2 linked regions of the Canis lupus familiaris genome follow. The protein of the gene in region 2 binds, or shares a complex with, the protein of the main gene of each other region. Links are inferred from orthologs where the notes say so. Each region holds a gene or a part of one and is shown on either strand. Other genes may lie near its edges.

Region 1 (4,618 bases), on a different chromosome or scaffold from region 2:
AAAGGTATGTAGGGGAACAAATGCTTCAAATTATATAGTTCACTTATTTCTCTCCCACCCAGACCAAGGGTACCTAACATGCCTGTAGTTTGGCTAAAGTGAGAATAAAGTGTCAAGACACTTCTCTTTAAGAAGTGTCCTGACAACAAAGTTAAGCATCAAAGTATTACATTTACCAGGCAGCAGCAGAAGTAAACTTGTTAACAGGCAGAACTTGTCCTCCCTCCCAGATTAAAGGGTACAAATGTAAGTGTATCTAATACTTTAAAGTAATACAAAACATTTGTATATTAGTTTCTTCCTCTATTAAATTACCAAGTGTGATGTTCTCCCCAGAGGAAAATCAGCCCAGTGGCAGAGCAATCAGTACAATTTCTAGGGTAAGTAGTATAGAAACAAAGACAGAAACCTTTTAATTTTCCATCAAACAAAGCAAGGAAAATTTAAACCTGTAATTTAAATTTGATTTCAATACATTAAAAGAAAAATCAAAGCTCTCCCAAGCAGTTTAAAGCATAAACTAGTGTTTTAACCCAAACACTGAAAAAAAAAAAAAAGGAAGAAAAAAAAAAAAAAAAACACCCTCAAAGACACAATTGAATAGCACCAAGTAACACTCCCTATAGTTAGTACTCAGAGTCACATTATAGCCTAGCAGTTCTAGGCTATAATCTGAAGTCAAAGAAGTAAAAGGACTCCAGAATTTAGAAACATCAATTTCCTGTAAGAATCCGTGGAGATTCTCAGAATCCAGACTATAAAGTAAAGGCTCTACCACACATGGAGTAGAAGGCTAATGTCTGGTCCTGCATATCTGCATATATATATTTGGCTCAGTTATGAGTTGGAAGTTTGACTTTAAAACCTTTAAACAAACGAACAAACAAACAATAAATAAAACCTTTAAACAAAGGAATCGGGATCCTGGGTGGTGCAGCGGTTTGGCGCCTGCCTTTGGCCCAGGGAGTGATCTTGGAGACCCGGGATCGAATCCCACATTGGGCTCCCGGTGCATGGAGCCTTCTTCTCCCTCTGCCTATGTCTCTGCCTCTCTCTCTCTCTCTCTCTGTGACTATCATAAAACAAAACAAAACAAAACAAAAAAAACAAACAAAAAAAAAACAAAGGAATCTTATAACATCCAAGTAAGTGTGGTAGAAAGAAGAGTTTACACTCTGATTTGAAAGTACATAAATAGTATAAGTCAGAGTTTCCATAACAGGCTTACAAATAAAACATTTGATCCATTTCATACAAGTCCTAACACGTAAAACATGTTAACTAGGATGTTAAGTTATTTTAAAAATAACGTTCAGTAGCGGTAGACAACAGGCAACTTGCTCAATTTCTATCTCTTGAAACCATGATGGAAATGTCCACCCAGTGTCAAGCTGAGTTAACTCAACATCTAGACGGCAAAGTGCAGCATTTAATACAGCATCTCACAGACAAGCTCATCCACACACCATCCCTGTAAAGCATACCTGATCTTTCATTTGCACTTAAAGAAACATACTTGGGTCACTAACCTGACCACAATTATAAATTAAGTCGAAGGACACTAGGATTGATACACATTGATTTTCCAAACTTGGCATTCAGGTAGAGCAATCTACCTGTTACAAGCTGATTTTAAAGGACTGCTACACATTTCTCTTGTACAGACTCCTCTATACCCACTTATCCCATGACCAGTATTTCTTACTCCCACACCCACAACACACCTAATCACCTCAGTCCCTCACCCTCCCCATCAAGCAGAAAAGAGCAGAAAACCTGCTCCCCTTTAACCAGAAACTGATCTCTAAAAAGAAAACAGAATGCAAGGTAACATGGCTCAAGACCAAAAGCTCTTTCTTTGGGTGGGTGAGCACATTCAGATACAAGAGAAAACAAACTCACACATGCTCACTTCGTTGTATTTTTAAAATAAAATACAAAGAATTTCTCCCCGAGTCTGAAGAAAGAGGAAACACAGCTCCATCTTCCATTTCTAGGTGCAGGGCTGCCTATGGGACCTATATCCTGACGCCAATTCTGATATGCAAGCCAACAAAACACAGGTGGCTCCCGGGGATCATAACCGGGAATTGCAAGTGTCAGGCCTTGTTCTGAGATCCTTCCCTGTCCAGGCCGATCTAATGCTCCACGTTGCTCAGGTTCCCAGCAGGCCTGTCCGTACTGCCTGGTACAGCAATTTAATAAACCCCTTCTGCCGAGCAGGGCGACCAGCACCATGGCCAGGAACCCCAATCACGAGAACGATGATGATTACTCTCCTGGCGAGGTGGGAGGATATAGTTTACAACGTGCTGAGCTAGGTGGCTGGAACCTCAGGAATTAGTTCCTCATCACTGTTGTCAATAACCCGGGGTGGGGGTGGGGGTGGGGCGGGGCGGAGGCGCGGGGGGAAGAAGGCGGCTGGTTGGTTCGGCACCACAGAGTTCTGTAAGGTCACCACACCCGGGGGTCGGTCTTATTCGTCCTCCTCCAAACGCCGCGTCCGGGCCTCGCCTCCCCTCCCCTCGCCGCCAGGCACACCGCGGGCCCGGTGTCTGCCCTGAGGAGGCCCGCCCCCATCGCCCCAGAGCAGGTGCGGGGACAGGGTGCGTACCCGGTTCTCCAGCTCCGCGGGGAACTTGGTCTGGAACTGGCACCGTGTGCCGCTGCTGTAGTCTCGCTGAATGAACACCTTCCCGGACACCGGCGCCTGCTGCGGCCTCATGGCGAGGACAGGACCGGCGCGCTGCGGGTTTGGGGGGACAACAGCCTCGGGTCAGATCCCCGGCCTGGACCCGAGACTCCGGCCCGCCCGCCCCCCAGCCCCTCCCCACGGGCCCAGGTGGCGCGAGGCGTGCCCCGCCCCACTCCCCCTCACCCATACTGGCCCCGCGGGACTTGAGCTATAGCCCGGGGCCAGGCCCCGCACCCCCCGCAGCCCGGTTCGGCCCGGGAAACACGAACCCGCCTCCTCTGCCCTCCAGCTGCAGTCGCACCGCCCACAGCGCCACTTACGTCCTGCCGCAAAAGAGCTTGTTTCCCCGCCCCTCCGCTCAGCCTCTATCGCAAGGAGAGGACTCACTTTCGCCCCGGCCGTAAAGCGACCCTGGTGAGGCTGCGCGCTGCGGTGAGGAGGCGCAGTGGGCGGGGTCCGGGCCGACCCCGCCCCTCGCCCCGCCCCGCCCCGCCCCGCCCGGGGGCGTCAATACGGAAGGAAGAGGCCGGGCCTGGCCGGGCCGGGGCGGGGCGAGGCCCGGGAAGCTACGGCTGCTGCACGCTCCCCTCGTTTGCCCCGGTCCAATACTCGGGATTTCCCTGTTGTGTCATATCCGTGTCGTGTCATTTCCCTAGTGATCGACGTAGTTTTTGACGTCCTGGCTTACCTGTGGGTGCCGCCCGACTCGGGACAAAACGAACTGCTCACACAAAATTGGAAGCAGAAAGCAGACGCCTGGGGATCCTCTTGGCAAGGGGGCGGGAGAAGGAGGGGACGGAGACCCTGCTTGGGCTTTATTACCGAGCATCCGTCCTCAGGTCTCTGCGGGGTCACCGTTCCTCCTCCCGCAGAGATGTCCATCCAGCGCCCAGTCTGTACATCCCTCGGGCGGCTGGGAGGACAGGTTCCCCTCCGTGACCTCTGGGGCTCCACCTGACTCAGCACACACTTTTGCAGAGCAGCCAAAGGAACTCCGCCTTGCCCTCAGCTGCTGGAGCCTGCCTGATACAGCCTGTTGGCACCGATGCCTTACCCTGCCTTTTATATATCTTAAAAATTTTCTCTTACTGTATTTTAAAAAGTTTTATGGAAATATAAACAGCATACAATGAGCGGAGCATACTTGAACTGAACAGTGTAATAAGTTCTGACATACGTGTGCAACCATGAAATCCTCTCAATCAAGACTGTGAACATTGATCATCCTCAGCATGTCCTACAAGCTCCTCTGTAATCCCTCTCTCCTGCCCTTACCCAGCTCCTTTTCTCCAGGCGCTGACCTGCTTTCTGCTATTATATGTTAGTTTGTACTTCTTTGAATGTTATATAAAATGAATCACAGTGTGTACTTCTTGCTTGTTTGTTTGGCTTCTTTCACATAGGCATCATTTGAGATTCATCTGTTGTTGTTTTATCAAGAATTCATTCATTTTTGTTGCTGGGTAGTATTCCATTGAATTGAGTATCCTGTCATTCGTTTATTCTGTGGACAGATTTAGGACTGCTTTCCAGTTTGGGGCTATTACAGATTAAACTGCTATCGGACATTCATCTACAAGTCTTTGTATGGACATATGATTTCATTTCTCTCGGGTAAATATCTAGTGTTTAACTTTTTAGGAAACTGCCAAACTGTTTCCCAAAGTGGTTGTACCATTTTACGTTCCCACCAGTAGCATATGAGGGATGCTCCACATCTTTGCCAACACTTGTATAGAGGTATCTTATTTGTGGTTATAAATTTTATTTTTCTATGACTAGAAAATTAGAACATCTTTTCATATACTTATTTGCCATTCCTATATCTTCTTGAAGTATCTGTTCAAGTCTTTTGCAATGTATTTGTGTTTGTTTTCCTATCATTGAGTTTTAAGAGTTTTTTTTAATGTATTCTAGGGAAAA
Region 2 (3,908 bases):
GTGGGCTAAAGGAGTTCATCTGAGTGTCAGGTTAACTGGAAAAATCTAGTAACTTCCAAATTCTTCAGGCTTGGCCTTATGTTGAACTAATGAAATCTAGCTACAAAGATAAAAGTGAGAGATCCAGAAAAAGAATGGAAAAATAGAGGCAGATAGGAGAGGAATCTGAGTCACTCAGAACCCATCTCTCTGCTTCTCCTGATTGCTACACTCAAACTCTAATACGAAGAAAATAAGAAGACATACAGAAAAATCTGGAAGCAGCCAAATTTCATGAATTTTGATTAACTGGGAAGGGTGAGATAGGCATTGGTAAGGAGTCTTGATTTTAGACCATTTAAAAAAGAAATATATGCCATTGCTTGTAAAAGATCACTAACAAAATATTTCCAAGAGGAGGCTCCAAGGAGCCTGCTTTAATAATCAAGACTCATTTGCAATTAACAGCATCCCTCTGCATAAAAACAATATCCTAATAAAGAACATGTTCTCTTAAGTAAATATACCCCCTCCAACCCTCCCAATCGTGCTAAACTGTATATTGCTTTGAAAGCCCTTTACTTCATAGTCCAGAATAAGGTAAACTTTAGCTCAAAATGTGGTCTAGATCAGTGGAGAGTTTGGGAGCTATTTCTCCAACTCAAGGGTCCCCTAGAAAATGGAAGTATGTAATAACAAGCAACCCCTTCAACCCCCACCCCTACCCCCCACACAAAGACATTCACAACCTCATGGTGGTTTTTGAAATGGAAGGGGGGAAGGAGGAGGCAGGCAGTTTGCATTAGACACAGTTTAATCACCTTCAAATAGATTAAAAGTTCTGGTTTACACTCCCCCCCCTCCCCGTAAGTCATCCAGACAGGACCCTGGCTTAGAAAGAGAAAAACACAGGTGCTTTAGGAAATATAGCCACATATAATACATAAATCTTCTTCCCTGAAATAGAGCAGGTCCTGAGCAGAGCTGACTGGGGGTCAAAGCACACCCCCAGGGTGAAGCAGCTCTGGGACTCTGCCGGTGGAAGTGCTGGAAGAGTGGGGCTTGGAGGAAGCCCCCGTGTGGTTACCAAGCCCGAGGTGGGCCAAGGCCTTGGAGTGGGTTTACCCGGGAGGGCAGCAGTGCTGGGCTTTCCCTCCTCACTCAGCCGAGGCCTAATGGAAGTACTGGTTATTCTTTTTTTTCTTTTTTTTTCTTTTTTGAGGGGACATAGGGGGAGAGGAGAGGAGAGGAGAGCCTCTCTGTGCCTTGGTTTCCCCATTTGTGCATTCAGGGCCTCTACAGGCCTCACACAGGGAGTCTGAGGGGGTAGTGTTTAAGTGAGCACTCAGGCTTCCTCTGAGGAAAAGGAATCACCAAAGTGCAGACTTTTATTACTGCTGTTCCTGCTCCTAGCAGGAGCAAGAGTCAAAAGGAAAACAAAAGGGGCTAACGAGAAAGGAGGAGAGATGAGACAAAGAGTGCAAGGGGCCATGTCATTGGCATCTCATAAATTCTTACTAAGAATGGCACAGGTATTAAAAAGTTTCCAGGTAGTCTACAAGAAATGTGGTTGTTTTCTCTACAGTAACTACTTACATATTTCTAGTTGAAAAAGAGTGGGGCTTGGGTGTTAGAGAGTGGGCAGGGGACAGAGGAGAAGCTACATGAATAAATACAAGTGGAAGTTATCTGCCCCATTCCTGAAAGGATTTGCCGGCAATGTTGGCACTTTGTAGCCAGGAGAATCCTCCAAGCCCACTCTTCACCCTCTTCAGTTCTGAAGGCCCTGGGAATCCAGTTAGGATTCCCTGGCCAGAGTTTTCTGTGACGGCCTCTGGACTCATGACATGCAGCAGCTTGGGAGGATTTGAGCCAGTCTCAAGAAACTTTAACCCCAGAATTGGGTCAATGACCCCAAGCAGGAGAGCTGGCATCTGGAGGAAAGAGAGGGGAGTCCAAGGAGACTCCATGGCTAAGGCCATTGAAAGCCAGTGTCGGGGCCCAAGGGACCCATTTGTCCAGTTACCAGAGGTGACTGACATCTTCCGTGACTGCCTCAAGTCCAGAAATTAAAAAAAGCTTGCAGCAAGAAAATGCCAGTGTGCAATTGGGTGAATAAGACCAAAGGAAAACAATAAAAGGGACAGCTCGGTTGCTCTCTGTCTCAGGTTTATCTTCTCCCCTTAAATCTCTCTCAGCCCTAATTAAACACGAACAAAAGTCTCTTCCATAGATAGGCTACTTCTCAGCTGCAGTCACCTCCTGTGGTGGCTCTGGGGGCTCTGGGGGTGGCATCTCTTCAGGAGTGCTGGTATCCTCCGGCATCTCACTTGGGCTCAGATGTTCTGTTGGGGCCTGAGAAGGAAAACGTATCAAATTCAATACAAAACTCTCCCTTAAGATCTAAATGGAGATAATACATAGACACCTAACTCTTCCTCTGAATCCATCAACCACACTGATGCTACAAATATACATCCACCAACACCAAACTCAGAACCAAGACCGAACTCTAGTCTTCTCAACAGAATGCGACTGAAGTTTGAATTCTATTCTTCACTGTTGTGGATAGATGTTTTCATCATTATTTGTGATATTAATAAAAGGGACCACAAATAATTACACAGACCCCTTCCCTTCACAACAGAATGCTATAACATACTTGTCTAAGAAGGCCTGAGTGGTTCTCAGTCTTTTTTATTCCCTAACACACAGCTCACCGGAACACTGATCCTAAATCAAATAGGGTAGGGTGGCAAAATCTTCAGATGGGATATGTGGTTTGAAAATGCCCCCTTAGTGATTCTAAAATACTATCCTTCCCTACCTTCAACTTAGCATCACTAACCTAGATTGTTATGATATAAGATCAGATTCATCAGGAAAATGAAATTCAAAATGATAATAATATATAAACCAGAGTTTGCTGTACTTCAAAAAAGAATTCAAAATTTAGGAAGGGTAGAGAACAATTATCTACTTTACAAAAATCATCCACTTAAAAGTAGGATTCTATTTGAAAAGAAAGCTCAAATCTACTAAAAATCTATTAGAATAAACTAGTCTAGCAAGGTTTCAAGATACAAGATCAATATAAAAAAATTAATTGAATTTCTATATACTTCCAATGTACAATCCAAAAATGTATTAGGAAAATTATTTCATTTTCAGTAACATCAAAAAGAATAAAATACTTATGAATAAATGTAACAAAAGAAGCATTAAACTTATACTCTGAGGGCACCTGGTTGGCTCAGCTGGAGAAGCATGTGACTCTTGATCTCAGGGTCATGAGTTTGAGCCCCACGATGAGGGTAGAGATTACTTAAATAAATAAAACTTTAAAAAACACCTTATACTAGCGGTACCTGGGTGGTTCAGTTGGTTAAGCGTCTGACTCTTGATTTCAGCTCAGGTCATGATCTCGGGGTCATGAGATTAAGCCCTGCATCTGGCTCTATGCTTAGCACAAAGTCGCTTGAGATTCTCTCTCCCTCTTCCTTTGCCCTTCCCCCCACTTGCATGTGTATGCTCTCTCTAAATAAATAAATAAAATTTTTAAAAAATGTACTCTGGAAAATACAAAATGTTGAAAGAAGAATTTTTTAAAGATTTTTGTTTATTTATTCATGAGAGACACAGAGAGAGACAGAGAGAGAGGCAGAGGGAGAAGCAGGCTCCATGTAAGGAGTCCAATGTGGGACTCGATCCTGGGACCCTGGGATCACGCACTGAGCCGAAGGTAGATGCTCAACCACTAAGCCACCCAGGCATCCCCAAAATGTTGAAAGAAATTAAAGAAGACCTAAACAAATGAAGACAGCCATGTTAATTATTCATAAGATTTAATCTTGTTAGGAAGATAATACTCCAAAAATTGATCTATAGCTTCAATGCAATCCTCATCAAAATTCCAGCTGGCTTCTTTG

The links.
Region 1: the proteins of ZDHHC9 (region 2) and GOLGA7 are in contact, whole or in part, in a cryo-EM structure (PDB 8HF3), measured with the Homo sapiens proteins. The link is inferred for Canis lupus familiaris from reciprocal best matches to the Homo sapiens genes ZDHHC9 and GOLGA7. Residues at the interface, in NP_001008223.1 of Homo sapiens: Phe78, Ala81, Arg85, Ile94, Pro95, Leu98, Asp100, Glu101, Phe104, Ile105, Phe129, Gln130, Ile131, Asn132, Ile146, Pro149, Pro150, Arg182, Tyr183, Leu186, Tyr274, Lys281, Cys284, Glu285, Leu287, Cys288, Gly289, Pro290, Leu291, Pro292; in NP_001002296.1 of Homo sapiens: Lys11, Phe13, Gln15, Tyr18, Ser19, Ser20, Gly21, Thr22, Ala57, Glu58, Leu60, Ser64, Tyr65, Gly68, Cys72, Ala75, Tyr76, Thr77, Phe79, Leu80, Tyr86, Glu87, Leu90, Ile116, Arg118, Gly119, Arg121, Val122.

Annotation. Positions count from the first base shown.
Region 1 is NC_049237.1:24,832,184-24,836,801, forward strand, and holds the start of GOLGA7 (golgin subfamily A member 7), read right to left. Parts: upstream 3,112-4,618; 5' UTR 3,016-3,111; exon of another isoform or gene 2,879-3,015; intron 2,747-2,878; 5' UTR 2,726-2,746; coding exon 2,615-2,725; intron 1-2,614. UniProt on the Homo sapiens protein: May be involved in protein transport from Golgi to cell surface. The ZDHHC9-GOLGA7 complex is a palmitoyltransferase specific for HRAS and NRAS.
Region 2 is NC_049260.1:101,905,660-101,909,567, forward strand, and holds part of ZDHHC9 (palmitoyltransferase ZDHHC9), read right to left. Parts: intron 2,335-3,908; coding exon 2,218-2,334; 3' UTR 1-2,217. UniProt on the Homo sapiens protein: Palmitoyltransferase that catalyzes the addition of palmitate onto various protein substrates, such as ADRB2, GSDMD, HRAS, NRAS and CGAS. The ZDHHC9-GOLGA7 complex is a palmitoyltransferase specific for HRAS and NRAS.